Drosophila melanogaster: one gene and its partner. The protein of the gene in region 2 interacts with the protein of the main gene of each other region in a biochemical or structural test. Each region holds a gene or a part of one and is shown on either strand. Other genes may lie near its edges. The genes, in order: vn and boi.

Region 1 (5,152 bases), on a different chromosome or scaffold from region 2:
AGCATGCCCCGCGGCATCAGTCGCTCCCTGTAGATGTCGCACTCGCCGCTGGAGTTGCTCAGCGCGAACTGCAATCGCACCAGCGTGGGCAGTTGAAGATCGTGCTGCTGCTTGTACACCTTCTCCACCTTCATGGTGGCCGAGAAGTTCACCCGCCGATCGGCGGACATCGACTTGAAGACACCCTGGAAAACGGTGGGTGCCGCAAAGGCCAACTGGGCGGGATCTCGGGCGGAGCAATAGCGGTTGTATCGCTGGTGCTTCCGCTGGTGCTTCCTGCGCTGCTGCTGCTGCTGCTGGTGCTTGTTGCCGCTCTTGTGCTGACGCTGCTGCTGCTGCTGGCGCTGCTCCTTCTGCTGATCCTGCCGCTGGCGGCGGTGATCGCGCTTGTCCTGCTGCAACTGTTGCCGGTGGCCGGTGCGCTGTTGCTGCCGGCTGCCGTTGGTGTTGCTGCCATCCCGACGACTTCGCGCCGCCTGCTCCGGACTGCGATCCTCTAACATGCTCTCTGGCATCTCGTAGGACTCGATTAGATAGCTCCGCACCGCCGGCCGACTGCTGTAGTTGCTCGGTAATTGCGCTCTGCTCTCTGGCTGATGTGGCAGCTGTGATGGTTGAATGTGGCGACGCATTTTGCTGCTCGCCGCCTCGCTGGGCATGCCATTGTATAATAAATTATATATTTGACTATTGATTAACGTATTTGGAACTTTTTGCATTGACTGCTGCTGCTGCTGTTGCTGCTGCTGCTGCTCTGGCACGGCAGCCACATGTTGCTCCTGCTGAGCGGGTGTACTGCTGCCGGCGTCGAATACTGTTGCTGGCTTTAACTTAACATTGCTACGGCTACTAAGACTATTGCTGTTGAGGCTGAGCAGCCTACTTAAGATATTGTTGTCGATGTTGTTGCTGCTGCTTCTACTGCTGCTGCTACCGCTCTCGGCGGAGCTTTCACTGCTCCCGCTGCCATTATCCGAACTCAGTGGTATATAGTAGCTGCTTTCTTCGGCACTGCCTTCCCATAATCTTGGAAGATGCTGCTGCTGCTGCTGCTGTTGTTGTTGCTGCTGCGTCGTCGCCGACGACGACAACACACATGTGTTTAGTAGCAACATGTAGCTGATAATTAGCAATATCAATGGCATTAGTTGCTTTTTTGTTTTTAGACTCCATTTGCGCAAATGTTGCGCATACATGGCGTCCTCCAAAGTTGTTGCTGCTATTGCCCCGACTTTATGTACAAAATCTCGATAGCGAGTGTTGCTGCTGCGCTTTGCTGCTGCTGCTGCGTATTGCTGCGTGATGCTGCTGCTGCTGCTGCTGCTGCTGCTGCTGCTGCTGCTGGGGGGTTGGTGTGTCCTTTGTCCTTGCAATTTGCCTAAACGTGACAAATGTAAAATTCGCTGCCTCGTCGTTGTGGCTTGTCGTATTTCCGTTTATCCTGCAAATACTTTCGATAGTTTCGTAGCATTTTGAGCGACAGCAGGGGCAAGAGAGAGACGGACTGTTCGAGAGCGAGAGAGAGGGGGATAGTGTATTTCGGACTGGTCTAACACACTGTATGCCTAGCATTAATTTATGAACACTTTGCCGCACTCGATTGTTGCTGTTGCTTTTGATGTTGCTGCTGCTGCTGTTGCTGTTGCTGCTTATTTTGGTGACTCATTTTTGTTATCTGAACAGAATTTCGCCGCGTTTCACTTGAGCGATCGCTAGGAGTCGACGCACGGCCACGCCCCGCTGCACGCCCCCCCCCAAAATTGGACGGGCCTAAGGTCGCGTGGCGTTTGATTTTTCCCCCACTTTTTTCGTAGCGCTTTTCTTCACGAGGCTTTTCACGCGCGCGATCGTTTCGTATCGCCTCGATTCGGGTTCGGATTCGTATTTGTATTCGTATTCGTTTGTGGGGCTCGGATATTCGTACTCGTATTCGTACTCGTATTCGGCTTTAACTTCGGCTGCCGCTCCTGCTGCTGCTGTTGCGTTTGCTGCTCTTGTAATTGTAATCCTCGGCGCCAGATATACGATAATGTTTGTCTGGCCGTATACGCGATCTCTCGCCTATATAGCCGTAGTCGCACCCGTAGTCGTAGCCGTAGTCTGATTCACGAGTCGTCTTTTCTGGCACACACACCGCTGCAGATCTCTGATCTCTGATGACGACGACGACGATGATGATGGGGATGGCGATGATGATGATGATGATGGTGGATATTGGACGGCGGATGGTGTACGGCGATGATGATGTGCGATATAGCAGACGCGGACACTCTCGCGTATCTCACGGATACGGATACACGGACGGGGCACACACAACACACACGTCTTCTAATTTTAGACAAAAGTAATTATAAAAGAAAAAACAGAGCAGAGTGCGCCGCGTTCAGCTTATACGCATATATATCTTCTACTTTGGCTTTGGCTAGATATATGTGCAATACATATATACCCGCATCTGCTGATGTATTTGTGCACCTTTTCGATGTCTGCGTGCTCACTAGCCGATTATATAGAAAAGTCGTCGCAACAGTCGGCTCTAGATAAATATATATATTTTTTGTGCATATATATATGCAACATGGGAACGCACACAATCACACGCGCTGGCACGAGAAGCGATCGTTTTTGTTTTATATATCTGTGCGTATATATATGTCTATGTGATAAGTACATATACCAAGTGCAGGCAGAAGTTGTTGCTTCAGGAGAGCCAAAATCTATGAAGATGCCCCGGCTGTTGTTGCACTGTTGTTGTTTTTATTATTATAGTTGCCACTGCTGTTTTTTTTTTATTTCATTCATTCCGCAAAAAGTCCGCTTTGCCGGGGAAAATCAGCAATTGCACACGCTTAATGAAACCGAAAGTCCTTTTACACGTTCGATCGATTTGTGTTGTTCGATTTGCTTGGTGGGTCACTTCGGTTACTCCAGCTGATGAAATTCGCTGGGAACTTTTATTCTTGAATATTAATAAATCAACGATTTTTCACACAGAATTTCACTGATTTCAAAACACTCCACTCGGATCTGCAGTTGTCTGGCTGATCTTTTATCAACGCCCTCAGTGAGTATCTGAACAATAATAATATTTGGCTATCTTACGGATTGCCGACAATCGCGCGCCCGTTCCGTTGCCGTCGAATGGTTTCTGCGGACTGTCGGTGGAAACTAACTGATTGTGTATGTTGGTTTAAAATTATTCTTTTCTCTGCTCCTAACACAGGCGGAATTTCGTATAATTCTTTTTTTATTTGGACGAACTCGCTCTACGGAGCGGCACAGGTCTGCTCGATTTGACGCCGCGAAAACGACTCAAACGTATCTCACCGATGCAGAGCAGAGTTGTAGCATTCACAACGTATCTCACGGATACAACTCAAACGTATCTCACGACTCAAACGTATCTCACTGGTCGGAATTTGTTCGACTGCGTTCGGCCGTGTTCGAATATCTTCGGCACGCTCATTTCGCTCAAACGTTGAGTGTTTTCTCCAACGTTTTCTTCTCACAGCAACGCCAGCATTTTCTCAACCCTGCAGTTTTCTCTCAACAATTTCGGGTGATCCAATTCATTACTTTATATCAATTACTTAAAGGCGATTTGTGGTTAACAATTGGGATATTTAATATGGAACATCAAGGAGGGCACGAGACCTTTACTTATTCGTCTCTAAAAGTATGCTTCACAATATGCTAATTTCTTTAGAGATTGCTCTAAAATTCTTTAAGTCTATAATGTCCTTTTTTTTTCAAATTTAGGGTATTAAAATATATTTTGTAAATCCGATTTACTCTCTCGCTCTCTCGAAAAATCCCTCTATTCCTCTGCTGCAAGGATAATTTCTTACCGTAATAAGTCGATACGATATATGCTAGAAAAACAACGTATTAAAAAAATATCGTCGTTACTCGTTAAAATGAAAACCGAACTAGGAGGGAAATCGAACCCGTTGACGATTAAATAGGTGTCTAACGACAATATTATCAATCCAATAGATAAAAATAGATAAGAGGACAGTTGTCATTGGCTTTTGCTCCGATTTCCAATAAGTTACTCATAATCGTCGAGCTTCTGATAGGCTGCTATAAATGAGTTCCAGTCTGAGGGTCTTTAAAAATTATTGCTCATACGCAAAAAGTTCAAGTCCTAGCTCAATGAGTCATTCCAAGTAATTGAATGAATGATGTGCGCTTATGCTGCATTTGAATAAGTTAAATGTACTGTCGGCGATCTTATCTAGTTCAAGAAAGTTTGGATTCATAACTAATCTTAGTTATCATTACAGAGCTGTAACTTTTTAACAATTTGCCTAAAAGCAATGAGCAATTTGTTAACAAAATTGTGAGCAAGAGACATAATTTTTTCTATTTATTGCTAATCGATCGATCACAATATGAGACCCTTACATAACTCGTCAATCTTAATTTAGTTTTGCTTTCATCCAACAGCTCTTAACTCAACGCTTTCGTTTGTTTTGACTACGGTTCCGGATTTCCTCCCGTTTTTGATATTTTCTTATGATGACTGCGGCGGCGAGTTGTCGTTCTTCTGGGGGCTCAGCTTTTTTCCCATGATTATTTGCTTTATTGTCAAATGTCAAGCCCACAACAGCGACTACAGAAAAAACAAAATGCGGCAGGTGATTCCGTCCAGCGCTTGGAAGTCGTGTAAACTTAACGTTTTTTTTTTTTTTTTTGTTTCTTACTTGCCCCAGCTGCTGATGTTTCACTCGCTGTTGTTGTTATTGTCAAACAAAGCTTCCACTTGTTCTACGCACTGCGCATAACAATAAAAGAAGCTGACAGAAGAAAAAAAAAATAAAAGAGAAAAAGCATAAAAGGGGAGCTTAGGTGGGGCGGCAGTGGTGTGGTGACAAGTGCGACAATTGTAAGAAAAGCCAGAAGCAAAGAAGGGTTCAAAGTCGGCCACTTGTGACGGAGCTGGGCCAACTTGGTCTACGTCATTGCCAGTTTCTGAATGAGCAAAACAGGTACTTACCCTACTTATCGAAACAAACCAGCTGATAAGAGCGCAAAAAAAAAACGCTACCAAATGATAGTGTTCTTATCGATTGGGCCAACTATTGCAGTTCATACGCGAAAAGCGCCCGGAAGCGGAAATAAAGCTCGACACCTGTCGCCGCTGCTCAGC
Region 2 (5,168 bases):
CCAAGATGACTACTCCCAATCCCAATCCCAATCCGAATCGGAATCCCGGCCAAATCAGTCTGCAATTACACTTCCGCTGGTGGAGAGCGAAGATCACAAAAAGGCATGGAGAAACATAACCCCTCGCCCGAACCGACCGAACGAATACCTCCCATTCATGCCGTCTCCGCGTCTCAGGCTCATTCACAAGATTCAAAGTCGAGACGAGAGTTCAGCCATTCATTCATTCACGTTGATTGCCACCTTTCTCGATCTTTTTTTCTCCTGCCCCACGGCAGCCTCTTGTGCTCCAATGATTAGTCTGTGCTAATGAACAGGCGGCGGCTACCTAGCAAAAAAAAAAAAAAAAAAAAAAATACAACACAAAATGATGAAGAGAGGGCGAAGGGGAAGTTATCCATGAAGTCCAAGACCAACAAAAACAAATCCCAAAGACACAAAAACGCCGAAAAAAGAGCGAGTAAAAGCGAGGCAAAGCTGCAAGAAAGCGGCAAACAAACAGAAATCAAATCCAATTTATGTTTTCAGCATTAATCATAATTTCTTGGGGGCCCATTTTGGTGTGGCGTGAAATAATTTTTATGCGCCGTTTTTACGGAACCCAATTCGAAATCGAAATCCCAAGGGGAATAGGTGTCAATGTCTAATTTTGTGGCAAATGCACTCGGAGCATTCTGTTTTCCTCATTATGACTATGACTATGAATGTGGGCTGGATGGAAACTGGATCAGTGGATCAGTGCTAATGGGGTGTGAGAATCGATCGCGGACGTTTTGGCCATGAAATTCGAGCGCACAGAATGGGAAATAGTGGCCGAGATCAATTGGAAATGCGTACAGCTATGAGTTAAGCTCTTCATTTGCGGAATGAATTCACTCCTCTAACTCTAAATCGCATGCCTGGGTGGGCTGTACGATTGATGCAATTAAGATGCTTGCAAGATCGAGACCCTTTACTGTCCCATCCAATTATCCCGTTTTATGCTAAGCCATTTCCCATTGATTCATTGCAGCCCGAATGATTCAACAGTGAAAAGGACCTGGCTAGAGCCATGTTTCAGATCGGTAGCTAGCCAGACTGACTCTAGTCTGCTGGAGTGGACCCCACATCGAATAGGGCCCTGGGTTTCGGGGCGGGGGTTTCGTTTGCTGGGCCACTTGAAAAGCAATTTTTTGAAATTTATTTTCCATTTATCGCTTTATTTATTTTCTACCTTCTTTCAGTGTGGCCCTGTCGCTTTGCTCCCCTCGTCCACAGTTCACCTGGTCTATCTGCTTATGCGATTAGAGTTGCAGCAAAGGAGACCAGGAAGATGACGACGTGGATGGTACAAGATTGGGATTGGGACTGCGACTGGGAATGGGAATGGGAATGAGAACGATGACGATGACGGCGATGATGGTGATGATGCTGCTCGGTGTGTTTATTTTTGTTTGGACCGAGAGACCTTTTTGTTTGTCTGCATTTTCGACGACGAACAAGACGGAGCTAAGGAACTGTGTCTCAATGGGCCACAATCGAAAGTAATAATGAAATCCCATCAACAACGAGACAAAGGCTCTCTGACCATTCCGATTCCCATTCCCCTTTGGCCTTCCATCCCTTTTTTGGCCTGCAGAATGAGACGACGACACTTGGCTTGATTTTTATTGTTGGGCTTTTCCCCCGGCCCTTTGATTTATTGTTAGCGGGAACGGGCTGGAAAATGGGAATGCTCTCCGGTTTCAGGTTTGGCATTGGTATTGGTTTTAGTTTTGGTTTTGGCCAAGTGTCCGGTTCCCTGAATGCATCTATGTATCTCTATCTCTCTTCTCCCAGATGATCTTGTTCTGCGACCAGCTGCCTGTTGCATTCCGCTCGCTCACCTCTTGCCAATGGCAACAGAAATGTGCGTGCTTAAGCTACAGGTGGACTTGGCAAACGACGGACTGTGGAGACTGTAGAAACTGGTGGTTATGTTCCGCGCATACAACAACAAAAAAAAAACAAAAAAAAACTCTTGAGAAAAGTTAAGTTCTGCAAAGAATTATAATAATTGTTTCACATATTGGTCTAAGGATCTCCACATTACGGAGGGCCCACTGTAGTTGTGCAACCTCTCCCGATCCCCCATCCCATTCCCAACTTGGGGTTCTATTCTGGTGCACGGCACATAGACAGTTCATTAATGTTATCAACGAGCAAAAAGGGGAATGAAGGATGGTCTTGGGACCCCTGCCACCTCGGATGACAGGTTTGGTTGTGCACTTTTCTGGTTTATGTACGCGCTGGATTTGATGTGCAACACTTGTTGTTATTTTGTGATTTTGTTGGGGGCCCGCTGACACATAAGAGTAACGGCAATTGGCAATTGGCCATTGGCCATCGCCTGTTGGCCAAAAAAGGACATGGCCACATGACCATCGCGAAAAACTTGTCAACTGGAATCGATCGATATGGCAGTGGTAATTCCGGGGAAGGGGGTTTCTCTGATTTACCGACATTTACGGACTGCACTGACCAGATGAACTACTTTCGAGACACTGGCCACTGGCCATTGGCCATTTACCGTTGCAAAACTCACCTGTTGACTGAAACCTCGAAGGGCAGCTAAATCCTCTATCCAAATCCAATTCCAATCTGCGCCGCTTGTCGCACTCTAAACGAACGGTAAATATTTTGATTAGATTTTGATCACTGGTCGCAGCATTCTTGCGATTTTCCCATCACATAAGAAACAAGCAGTAAAAGAACAATGAGAGCCGAGAGAAAAGGCAGTCCAAATAACAGAAACCCATTAAAATGTTATGGCATTTTCAAAGCCTTTCGAACACACACACACATGCACACACTCGAGAACAGGGCGATTGGCATCGGCTTAAATCGAATTTCTGGGGATATGGAGATCACTTCTCGACGGACATTCGCCAAGTATTGATGTTCCGCCAGGGCATAATTTATAGTTATTAGGTGTTTCCTACGCGACGCCGCTGCCTTTTTAGCCGGCTGCCGTTATAAAAATAAAAACAAACTTGGCACACGCACTTTTCTCGCTCTCGCTCGTTCTCTCTCTCGCTCTCTCTTTCTTTGCACTTCCTAATTTGAATGCACCTCAAGGGCAGCCGAACCAGCACTCACAGGGATTTAGAACAGCCAAAAAAAAGGTAAACAAATAACCGTTATTAGCACGACGATTTTATTTTGAGATATATATTCAAATATAACTCTGTTATAGTTTCGCGCAGACTCCGCACACACGTCTTTCTTGCTCGGCGGCGCGAAGCGAAGTGAGCCAAGTAACGTAATGTAGTACTTATATCAATTCGTGCATACTTTTGGGCGCGCTTCGAAAATCTTGATGAGAAAGAGCAGAGAACCAAGAGAGAAACCAAAAGAGAACATTTTGAAGTTGTCTTCTTTCTTCTCTTTTGTTGTAATGTAATTGAATTCTTCTCTTCTCTTACAATTTTGAATTTGCTTGATCGGGAGGAGGCCACTGTATTTTGATATTACAAATGAATTATAACGGAAGTCGGAACTAATGATTGTTGTGAGCATACCTTTTAAGTTTTATAATGAGTATAATAAATACCTTTATTCTGAATCCTTAATCCTTAATCTTAATCGTTAATAGAGATGAAGATGATCTATGGAAATGATGATTTATGAATGAAGAACTCCTCCCACAATTAAACACATTCCAGACTGTTGTTGATTTCATTTTAATATATCTTCTGCATTCGCTTTTATCCACTCAACGGTTTTCGCTCGTTCACAATAGTTGCATTCTTAGTAATTCATTTATCATTATATGTATGTAGGTGTATTATCAATTGGTTTTTAATCAATAACGTGGTCTTGTATGTGTGTAGGGCCAATTTTCGATCTCCAACTTTTTACACTGGGCTGGCAAAAAAAGAGTCGTAGTCATAGGTATAAGCTAGAGACTAAAATTATGATTAAAATGCCTTCACTATTGTGGATTTTGTGGTTGCAGTTGGCTAGTATGCGTTGTTGTTGCTCGAGTTAGTTAGTAAGTTCTTAGGGTTCTAGGCTTTAACTGTATTTTCTGTATTATTTTGCATTAGTTGCATTATTGTATCTGTTTCGTTTCACTTCTTGCATGGCGTTTTTGTTAAATAAATGTTTGTGATATTTTCGCATTTTTCCTTGCTACAATCTTTAACTTAGACTTAAGGATCGAAGAAGCAATTGTAGTTGAAGTGATCGTTTCTCTTTTGTTTTTGTTTTTTTTATATTATGTGTAAGTGATATAATATTCAATTTTTGTGGATTTTCTTGGGCTTATGCATATGTTGTATATATAAAAATTGTTGTTCGTTTTGTTTCATTTGTTAATGTTTAATTAAAAAGCTAGTTTCGGCTGTTGGTTGTGTCCTCAGACGACTGGCGGTTCGGTTCCTCCCAGTGGATCGTCGTTACTAATTAAATAAAATGAAGAAACGAGAGAAATTGTAAATAAATTAAAAAAATAAAAACTTGTAATTAAAAAATTATTATAAAAAATTATTATAAAATCAAATGTGTGCGGTCTAACTTTAATAAATACATTACTTATATTTGATAAAATTTGATAAAAGCCTCGCCAAACTGCATTTTCAGACTTTGCCTCAACGCGAAGAAGAACTATGGTTTTCTTCGTACACTCAATGTCAATGTAAATTTGAATTTATAACTTCTTACATGCCATATTATTATTTTATTGACATATATTATATTATTTTAAATAATTGGGAAACTATGCATCTCAGAACTACCCATCTTTATAAGAACATCTAGCTAATAAGCTTGGATAATACACAGCTGTATCAAATAATAACGTAGTCAGCTTTTTGAGATCTGGTAAAATTATATATAATTTTATAATTGTTTCATATGGTTTATAGGTATTCCTTGCTGGTAACAATAATAATAGTATTCATAGATATGGTCACAAAGCAGAGTACATTTCGACTACATTGAGCTAAAGCTACCGTATCTCAGGATAGATTGCACAGATATCTGTTTTAAGGGTTTTTCCTATAGGATATGGTTACGTTGAACTACCTATCTATGCAAGAGTTTTCTACCTATAGATAACTGGTGTTCGGGTATGATCAAATATATAGCTTTAGAGTTGTGTGACCTGAGCTTGGCTTCGAAAGGAGTACAATCCAGTAAGAATTGGC

What was found.
Region 1: the proteins of boi (region 2) and vn form a complex in vitro, tested with the Drosophila melanogaster proteins (one study listed by BioGRID).

The regions. Positions count from the first base shown.
Region 1 is NT_037436.4:5,842,363-5,847,514, forward strand, and holds the start of vn (vein), read right to left. Parts: upstream 3,303-5,152; 5' UTR 1,197-3,302; coding exon 1-1,196. UniProt on the Drosophila melanogaster protein: Ligand for the EGF receptor. Seems to play a role in the global proliferation of wing disc cells and the larval patterning. Shows a strong synergistic genetic interaction with spi, suggesting a molecular interdependence.
Region 2 is NC_004354.4:2,466,774-2,471,941, forward strand, and holds the start of boi (brother of ihog), read right to left. Parts: upstream 3,271-5,168; 5' UTR 3,118-3,270; exon of another isoform or gene 2,832-3,117; intron 2,639-2,831; 5' UTR 2,564-2,638; intron 1-2,563. Other genes in the region: trol (terribly reduced optic lobes), read right to left, coding at 4,379-4,421.